2 linked regions of the Coturnix japonica genome follow. The protein of the gene in region 1 purifies or fractionates together with the protein of each later gene. This does not show direct contact. Links are inferred from orthologs where the notes say so. Each region holds a gene or a part of one and is shown in the gene's direction. Other genes may lie near its edges.

Evidence for each region.
Region 2: the proteins of PDHB (region 1) and PDHX purify together in Homo sapiens (affinity purification with mass spectrometry; 4 studies listed by BioGRID and IntAct, counting the BioPlex papers as one, with this or other methods). This does not show direct contact. The link is inferred for Coturnix japonica from reciprocal best matches to the Homo sapiens genes PDHB and PDHX.

What each region holds. Positions count from the first base shown.
Region 1 is NC_029527.1:9,335,468-9,339,981, reverse strand, and holds the start of PDHB (pyruvate dehydrogenase E1 component subunit beta, mitochondrial), read left to right. Parts: upstream 1-1,418; 5' UTR 1,419-1,482; coding exon 1,483-1,581; intron 1,582-1,702; coding exon 1,703-1,810; intron 1,811-1,883; coding exon 1,884-1,946; intron 1,947-2,023; coding exon 2,024-2,059; intron 2,060-2,145; coding exon 2,146-2,431; intron 2,432-3,017; coding exon 3,018-3,128; intron 3,129-3,726; coding exon 3,727-3,818; intron 3,819-4,270; coding exon 4,271-4,412; intron 4,413-4,514. UniProt on the Homo sapiens protein: The pyruvate dehydrogenase complex catalyzes the overall conversion of pyruvate to acetyl-CoA and CO(2), and thereby links the glycolytic pathway to the tricarboxylic cycle.
Region 2 is NC_029520.1:5,982,693-5,986,506, reverse strand, and holds part of PDHX (pyruvate dehydrogenase protein X component, mitochondrial), read left to right. Parts: intron 1-2,067; coding exon 2,068-2,168; intron 2,169-3,814.

The sequences.
Region 1 (4,514 bases):
TGCTTCTTTTGGTTAATATTTCAGCCTTCACCTCAGGCAAGAGAGCAAAACACCAACAGTGGCCACTCAGCATTCTCGCTCCTTTATGCCTAATTGCTTCACTATGAATTCCAAGCTCTGAAAGTTTCTTTCCCACACCTGAGGAACAATACAACATCTCAGTTTGGGACTGGGTTCTGAAGCTCCATCTGCCAGATGCTTGAAAATCCCACATCACCATTTGACCCTCCTCATGCAGGAGTCCAAGGACTGCAACTGCACCTGCCCTGCTCCTGCTGGCACCACACAGTCACTCTGCACAGTGTCAGTAGTTGGTTTTACCCACGTATCTTGTTCCATGGCACCAGCAGGCAGCTGTGTGCATGGGGAAACATCTCCCAGCAGTGCTGGATGAAGGCAGGTGTCAGGAGCACATCCTGCACAGCCAACAGTGCTGACACAGGGACCAAGCAGCAGGATGGTGACAAGAATCGTCCCTTCAAACCCAGGCCCACAGGAGGAGTCGGGAACAGCCGCTTTCCATCCCAGAGGAACGCACGGAAGGAAATCTCCCCCTGAGATCGCAATGATTCAGCAAAGGATGCTGGACACGACTGCACCGCTCCACCCGCTGCCCCCAAGTGCCCATCGCCTGGATACCGCTCCCGGCCCCAGCCCGGCCCTCCTGCAGCGAGGGGCAGCCCCTGTTCGAACTGAGGGCCGGGTACAGCCTCACAACATCCCAAACGGGGCCCGGCAGCCCCCAGCCCCAGGTACCCGCAGTCCCACAGGGGGCCCAGCCCCGTTTCCCCCCCCCCAGTGCAGCCTCCGGCCGCTCACAGCCCCGTGTTTCCCTCCCACCCCCCACAGCAGCACAGCACAGCACAGCACAGCATAGCACAGCACAGCACAGCACAGCACAGCACAGCACAGCACAGCATAGCATAGCATAGCATAGCACAGCCCGGCCCGGCCCGGCCCGGCCCCGCCCCTCCTCACACTCACAGTCGCAGGTCCCGGCGCTGAAGCAGAGCCCGGCGATGATGGGGGCGACTGAACCGGGAGCGAAGCAGCCGCCGAGGAGGGAGGAGCGGGGGCGGGTTCTGCCGCGATCCCCTCCCCGTGTCTCCGCCCGCTCCGCTCGGGTGAGGGAGGGAAGCCGCCTCCTTTCACCTCAGGGCCGACAGTGGGGACACCTCGCTCCGCCCCACGCCTCCTTGGCGGGCAGTTGTGTCACTGAAGAGGGGCACACAGATGAAGGGGGGCGGTGGGGGCGGTGCGGTCCCGGCGGCAGGAGGCGATGCCGCGTTGATCGCGCCCCGAGCGGCGCCATGCGAGCAGCACCGAGCGCGGCACGGCCTCACCGCCACCACAGCGCGAGACCGGAAGTGACGCATAAAAAGAGCGCTGGCTGCCAGCGCCAGTTCTCGCGAGAGTTCAGGCAGGGGCCGAGGTAGCGCGGGGGCCGGGCCGTTGCCCGGTGCTATAGAGGACACGGCCAAGATGGCGGCGGCGGCGGGAGCGCTGCGGCTGCTGGTGCCGCGAGGCCGCCTTCTCTCGCCACGCAGAGGCTTCCACCTCTCCGCGCCCGCCGCCATCCAGGTACGGGCCGTGAGGATGGAGCTGGGGCGGGGGGTTCATCCGTACGGGCGGGGTGGTGCGGGTGAGCCGAGGGACGGCCGCCCTGCCCTGCCCAGCACTGCCCGGCTGCCGCTTCCCGCAGGTGACGGTGCGGGACGCGCTGAACCAGGCGCTGGACGAGGAGCTGGAGCGGGATGAGCGTGTGTTCATGCTGGGCGAGGAGGTGGCACAGTACGACGGTGCCTACAAGGTGAGGGAGGGGGGGCCCTGCCGGGGCCGCAGTGCGGGCTGTGCGGGGGCTGACACCGCTCCGATCCTTTCAGATCTCCAGGGGGCTGTGGAAGAAATACGGGGACAAGAGGATCATCGACACCCCCATCTCCGAGGTACGGCGCGGGGCTCCCCCCACAGGGCTCCCCGTGGGCCGAGCTGTGGCGCTTAATGCTGTTTGCTCCTCTTCCAGATGGGCTTCGCAGGAATCGCCGTTGGTGCCGCAATGGTCAGTACGCCCTCAGTCCTAATGAACTGATGTACAAAACGAGCTGCTTTGGTGTTAAAACATATCGTATGGTCTAACTCTGATAGGCGGGGTTGAGGCCGGTGTGTGAATTCATGACGTTCAACTTCTCCATGCAAGCAATCGACCAGGTTATCAACTCTGCTGCCAAGACGTGCTACATGTCTGCAGGAACCATCGCCGTCCCCATCGTGTTCCGTGGCCCCAACGGGGCTTCAGCTGGCGTTGCCGCACAGCACTCGCAGTGCTTCGCTGCCTGGTACGGGCACTGCCCGGGGCTGAAGGTTGTCAGTCCTTGGAGCTCAGAAGATGCCAAGGGGCTGCTGAAGGCATCGATCCGGGACGATAATCCAGGTGAGCACAGTCAGATGACGGCAGTATTTAACTCTCATTTCTGAATGCTTCTTTTCCTCTCCCACCTCATGTAAAAAGATAAAAAGTTTATTCAGCACTTAAGCATTTTGTGCTGTTCTAACCTGCTTGCAGGTACTCATCTAGAAGCTTTGAAAGACACATTTATGAACTCATTGTAAAGGCATTATAAAGGATGAAGATGAGTCAGGAGAAGTACCTGCAGATACAGTACAGTGTAACTCATTTTTTAGAGTTGATGAAGCTTAGATGATAAATTCAGAATCTCATTAAGCAAAATCAGGGCAACCTTCATCTTTCTTTCTCACAAGCACACGTGCAAAATGTAAGGCTTTTTCTGAAGCTAGCAGTTCTACAGAAACATTTCTTAGCCACAGCCTTTGCAGTTTTCCCTTGATCTACCTTTAGAGATGAACTGAAGACAGTATTTAAACTAACTGCGTAGTGAAGTTGATTGACTTTTAATTGTTTGTATTGGTCTTGCAAATATTCTTCTGCGGTACCGTTAATGATAAGTACAGCCTGTTCCTGCAGAGGTATGAATTAATCCAAGTATGTTTTGTTCTAGTTGTGGTGCTGGAAAGTGAATTGCTGTACGGCGTTCCCTTTGAGATGTCAGAACAGGCACAGTCAAAGGACTTTGTTATTCCAATTGGAAAGGCCAAAATAGAAAGGGAAGGTAAGCTGAGAACACAGTGTATGTACCTGTATGTATCCTTACTAACCAAGCTGCCTGGGGACTCTTAGCTGTTCAAAATACTGCTATCATGGGGCACAGGAACACATTTAAATTGTTAAATACTCAAATATGATTTATCCTGTATTGTACTCAATTGTTTGTTCTCAGTTTCTCACTTAAAACTGTACCTCCCTAGAAGGTTTCTTTCTCAGCCTAAGGATGGTGTTGGTGATGTGCAGGGAAGTTCTCACCTTACTATGTCATTTTTGTCCAAAATGCAGAAGATATCATTGTAATTTTTCAGCCTGTTTATAATTTACCAATGAATAGCATGAAAGCGTAAAAAAAAAAATAATCCGAAAAGTATTGAAAACATTATTTAGATCCCTGAATCAAAAGATTATCCTCACATAGTCCTGCTGCCATTCTTCACAGGTATAGAAATACTTAACATTTCATGTAGATGTAAGGAACTTAAATTTGCATGAGAATACTGATGCTACCTACAAAAGAGCCCAAGAAAAATGCTTTTTTGTGTGTGTGGTGGGTTTTTTTTTTTCTGCATTTGTTTCTTCTTTAAAACTTGTTTCTGTTCCAGGAACTCATGTTACATTAGTGGCGCACTCTAGGCCTGTTGGGCACTGTTTGGAAGCAGCTTCTATCCTGGCCAAAGAAGGTGTTGAGTGTGAGGTGTGTGGGGTTTCTGTTGCTTTTCTCTGTACAAGGAAAAAGGCAGAGGGTCACCTTGTTCAGGCTCTGTAGAACATCACTTTATAAACTCCAAGCTTTTGTAAGTGCCTTAACTGCCAGAGTATGTGCATTTCTTGTTTCTGCGTTTGACCTTTTCATCACAAAATCAAGTCAGAACTACCAGAGACTTTCAGATTGATCTGCCTGTACAATGAGCAGAACAATGACAGTATGTAGCAGCATGATTATATACAGTGAGACTCATTAAGCATTTTCCATGCTTGATGAGCCACCAAAAGCCATTCTGAAGCATCTGTCAGGATAAGAAGTAATTTCATTAAGTCTTCTTGTCAAAGTCAGAATAGATTGAAGTGCTAAAGGACACAGTGCCCAAACAGCAGTAAAGGTCACGATCAGATCACAGCAAAACTCACTCAGTGCCTTTTTTTAAGGTTATAAATCTGCGCACCATTAGACCAATGGATATTGAAACAGTGGAAGCCAGCGTTGCAAAGACAAACCATCTTGTAACTGTAGAGGGAGGCTGGCCACAGTTTGGAGTAGGAGCTGAAATCTGCGCCAGGATCATGGAAGGTACCGACTTCTGCAATCTGCACCTTGATCTAAATCCTCATGACTTCTTGATAATGCCAGATTTGATAAAGCCCAAATTGGAAGTCCTGTGTCTGAGGAGCT
Region 2 (3,814 bases), on another chromosome or scaffold:
TGGATACTTGTCTGCTAGTAATTGAATGGAGAATTCAGGCTATTGAATGTCAGTTGGAAGGGATTTCCTAGAGGGAAAGTCAGTTTCAGTAGAAGTACTAATCATTCAGTCTAGCTATAAGAAATGACTCCTTTAAGTTTTTATCTTTTAAATGTGAAAATAAAAAGCATTTTTAAGTGCATTGTATATAATCTCAGAGAGCTTTCTGCTAGTAAGGCAACTGCTGTTGCAAAAACTGCATTCTCATTCAAAAATGTAAAAACAAAGGTAATGTTTTGCAAAGCCGTTCTTCCCAATCATCTCTACAGTGAAAGCTGATCTGTAATTGACATCAAATCAGGCCCTATTTTGGAACTATCACATTTTGCACTCTATACTGGAAACAACTATGGTCCTTTCTATTACAGTTAGTCACTGAAACCCGTGAGATTTTGAAGCCAGCTGTGAAGTATTCTTGATTAAAATTGCATTTGATTAATTGCCTTCCAAATCTGTGACCAGTTCTTGGCTGCAATGTTTACTGGGAACGGGGGAAAGAATACAAACTCAAACAAGTGAAAAGTGATTTACCCATTTCCTTGAAGTCGTTTCCAGTTGCCTTCCCTGCGTAAGAGTCCTTAGCTTTTTATGAACAGATCCATGTGCCTGGGTTAGGAGTTATGTTTTAAGGGACAAATGTGTGATATAAATATATATTTTTGCTAGCTTGTGCTGTTAGAGTTAGTACTAGGTAGTCTGCAGTAGTGAGAGATCTTCTCAATGATGCAGAATATTGTCAGATTGATTGCAGATTCCAGGAAGAGAAGGAGCAAGCAGATATAGGGTGTTATGCTCCTTTCTTAGCTATATAGGTTATGAAATTTGCTCAACAATTTGATTTCTTAACAGCTATGAGGTACTTACCTAATGGTCTGATATGTAGGGCACTTGAATTAATAATCCAATGGGATTAAGTCACTGATAGATAGCCTGGAAATTCAGCTTCTTGTTGTGTACCGTTTATGCTCTAGTTATTGCAAAGTGCAGTGCGGCAATTAGATTATTAAATTAAAAAAAATGGTGCTACTTTGTGACCTGCCAAGTTCCATAATGAGATTGTTTATGATTTCTAAGGCTATGTAATTGAGGTTTGAATGTCCCTGTTGCTTATCCCTGCAGAGATCGCGAAGATAATAAATACTTGATATTCTTTTATCCTAATTCAGACAATCATACCCAAACGTAGAAACTACTAAATTATAAGCTTTAAAATGTAGGTTACAACCTGCACTGGTATTTTCTGATGCTTATCGTCAAGGTGGCAGAATTAAATAGGCCACATGGTCAGTATTGATCTGCTGAAGGAATTCAGACAGTAACTTTTATTGCATGACAGCAGATATGGGTATTCTTGAAAAGCAGAGGGGTATACTCTGTAATTATTCTATTTATATTCCTGTAATGTAGTAAAAGGAATTTTTAACATTTGTGCATGGTTGTATTTCACAAAGTTTTTTTGTTTGTTTGTTTGTTTTTTGTTTTGCTTTTCTTTCTTTTTTTTTTTTTTTTTTTGGCTGTAGAAGAGATTGAGAAGCCAAGCTGGCAGATACACTTTCCAAAGAGTTTGAAGTTCTTCATATTTCTGTTTGAAAAGCTTTGATAGTGTAGGTACAAGCTATGGAACTATGATACTTAGTCACAGGCATTGCTGCCTATAACCACTGCCTCAAAAACTTTAAGTATCTTACTTAGACTGTTGACAAGCAATGAATAGAGAAGGCTGAGGATTGCATTTGTGGCAGTGCTACTTATCAATTTTCATCGTGTGTGTGTACTTTGTCTTGGAATGCCTTCTGTAAACATTGCTATGTCAATGTTCTACTGTTTTTATTTCTATCTCTGAATCTTATTGGTTGTATATGAAAATGAACAATACAATATGACAGATCACAACAGGGAATCTACTAGCTGTAGCATGTGTTTAAGAATGTAAAAGGGCTGTATTGTTTGCTTAAGTGTCTCTCTTCAATGGTTAAAGAGATATAAAAGCAGTTTAGATCATGCATTAAGTTCTATTATATTTTGCAGGTGAAATGGTGAATGCTGGAGATGCACTGTGTGAAATTGAAACAGACAAAGCGGTGGTTACCATGGAATCAAGCGATGATGGCATATTGGCAAAAATACTGGTAGGGATTCTGCCTGTCTGAGAAGGATGTTATCGTTTCTCTAAATGCATTTGTTTGCATTCCTAGTGAAGGAAAAAACACGTTATTTTTGTTTTGTAGCATCTGTTTAAAGGGACATAGGTTCATAAGCTGCATAACCAGTTTTGTTAGTGTTTTCTTAAGAGTTCTTAAAATCCTGATAGTAACTGGAATGGGAAATAAATAACGTCTCAAAGGCATAACAGTGTTAGTACATGAATCAAATATGGTTTCATACAAAGAAGACTGTCCTTTCAAATAATACTACTAAGTTTATGATGTAGCTAATGGGAAATTAAGCATCTAGTACATCTGAGTTATCAAACTAGCTGAAGTTTGCTCATGTCCTTAAAAAAAGGTAGAAGTTTTATGTTGTTTCATGCCAACTATAATTCAACGTTATCTTGATTTGAGTTCATTTCAGAAAACTGGGTAAATAAAGGGAAGTTAACATTGTTTTTCACCTTCAAATGTTAATCATTAGATTCAGTTAATTCAAGCTTCTCTAACACTTTTGCTTTCCTTGACCACATGCTGCAAGTATCCATAGTTTAAGAAGAAGCAGAGTAAGAATAGAATAGCTCTATCTGCACATATTCTTTGTCTCTCTTAATCTGTCTTCTAATGATCACATCTTGTTCAGTGTAACATGCCATAAAAACTTAAATGAGTGGATGAAAATTTTAGAAGGGTGATTTCAGAAAAGTGATTATTCTTTCAGCAGAATTCTTAAATTAGCACTGACTTTTTGCCTAAAATAGGTAAATTTGAACTGAAAACGGAGGGTGAATAATTGTTTTAAGAATTGTATTCAATACCCATTACTATTTTCTCATTTATGACCTAAGTGAGAACTTCCATGGACTGAAAATACTTTATAGAAAACTTCTACTGTAAAGTGAACCAGCATAAGGTCCATCTACCTTGTTTGCCACTGTTCTGCGCTGACACCAGAGGTTACTCCTCTGTACAACTAAAGCTGTGTCCTCCGACTCTTTCACCCTGTTGTGGTTCACCTGTGCTTTGCTTATTTGTCAGCAAAATTAGGTTTCTTTTAGAACCTTCTTGGATGTGGATACACACAGAGTAATTGAAATATCCCTAAGTGACTTTTTTCATTCTTTTTATATTATAGGCGTCAAGATTCACTGAGATGTATATAAATGGGTTTTCTGGCATTATGAATTTTGAAAACACAGAGGACATAATTTAAAAAGTTCAGGAAGTAAAAAGTTAAGCAATGTAATAACATTTTATTTATTTATTTATTTATTTCAGTCTCTTCCAGTTCTGAGCTGCAGAGGCAGCATAGATTTGTAAAGTATTTTTAAACACGTACTGTTAGAAACACAAACTCTGGAGTTATCTGTGCTGGAAACATGTATTGAAAATATAGAATGCTGGTTGCTGGAGTTTTCACCTGTTTAGCTGGAAGAGCATAGTACAATAGACTCAGCATGAAGAGCAGTGACAGCTTTGAACGCTTATGTAATTATTTATAGACAAAGGCTTATAGACAAAGTCTAAATAGGAGAAGTGATACTGAATCAGCAGGCAACCCTGTTGAATTTCTGCGTGTTATCATAGCATCCTTAAGGCATTCTGGTATCAATATTGAAATAAAGTTT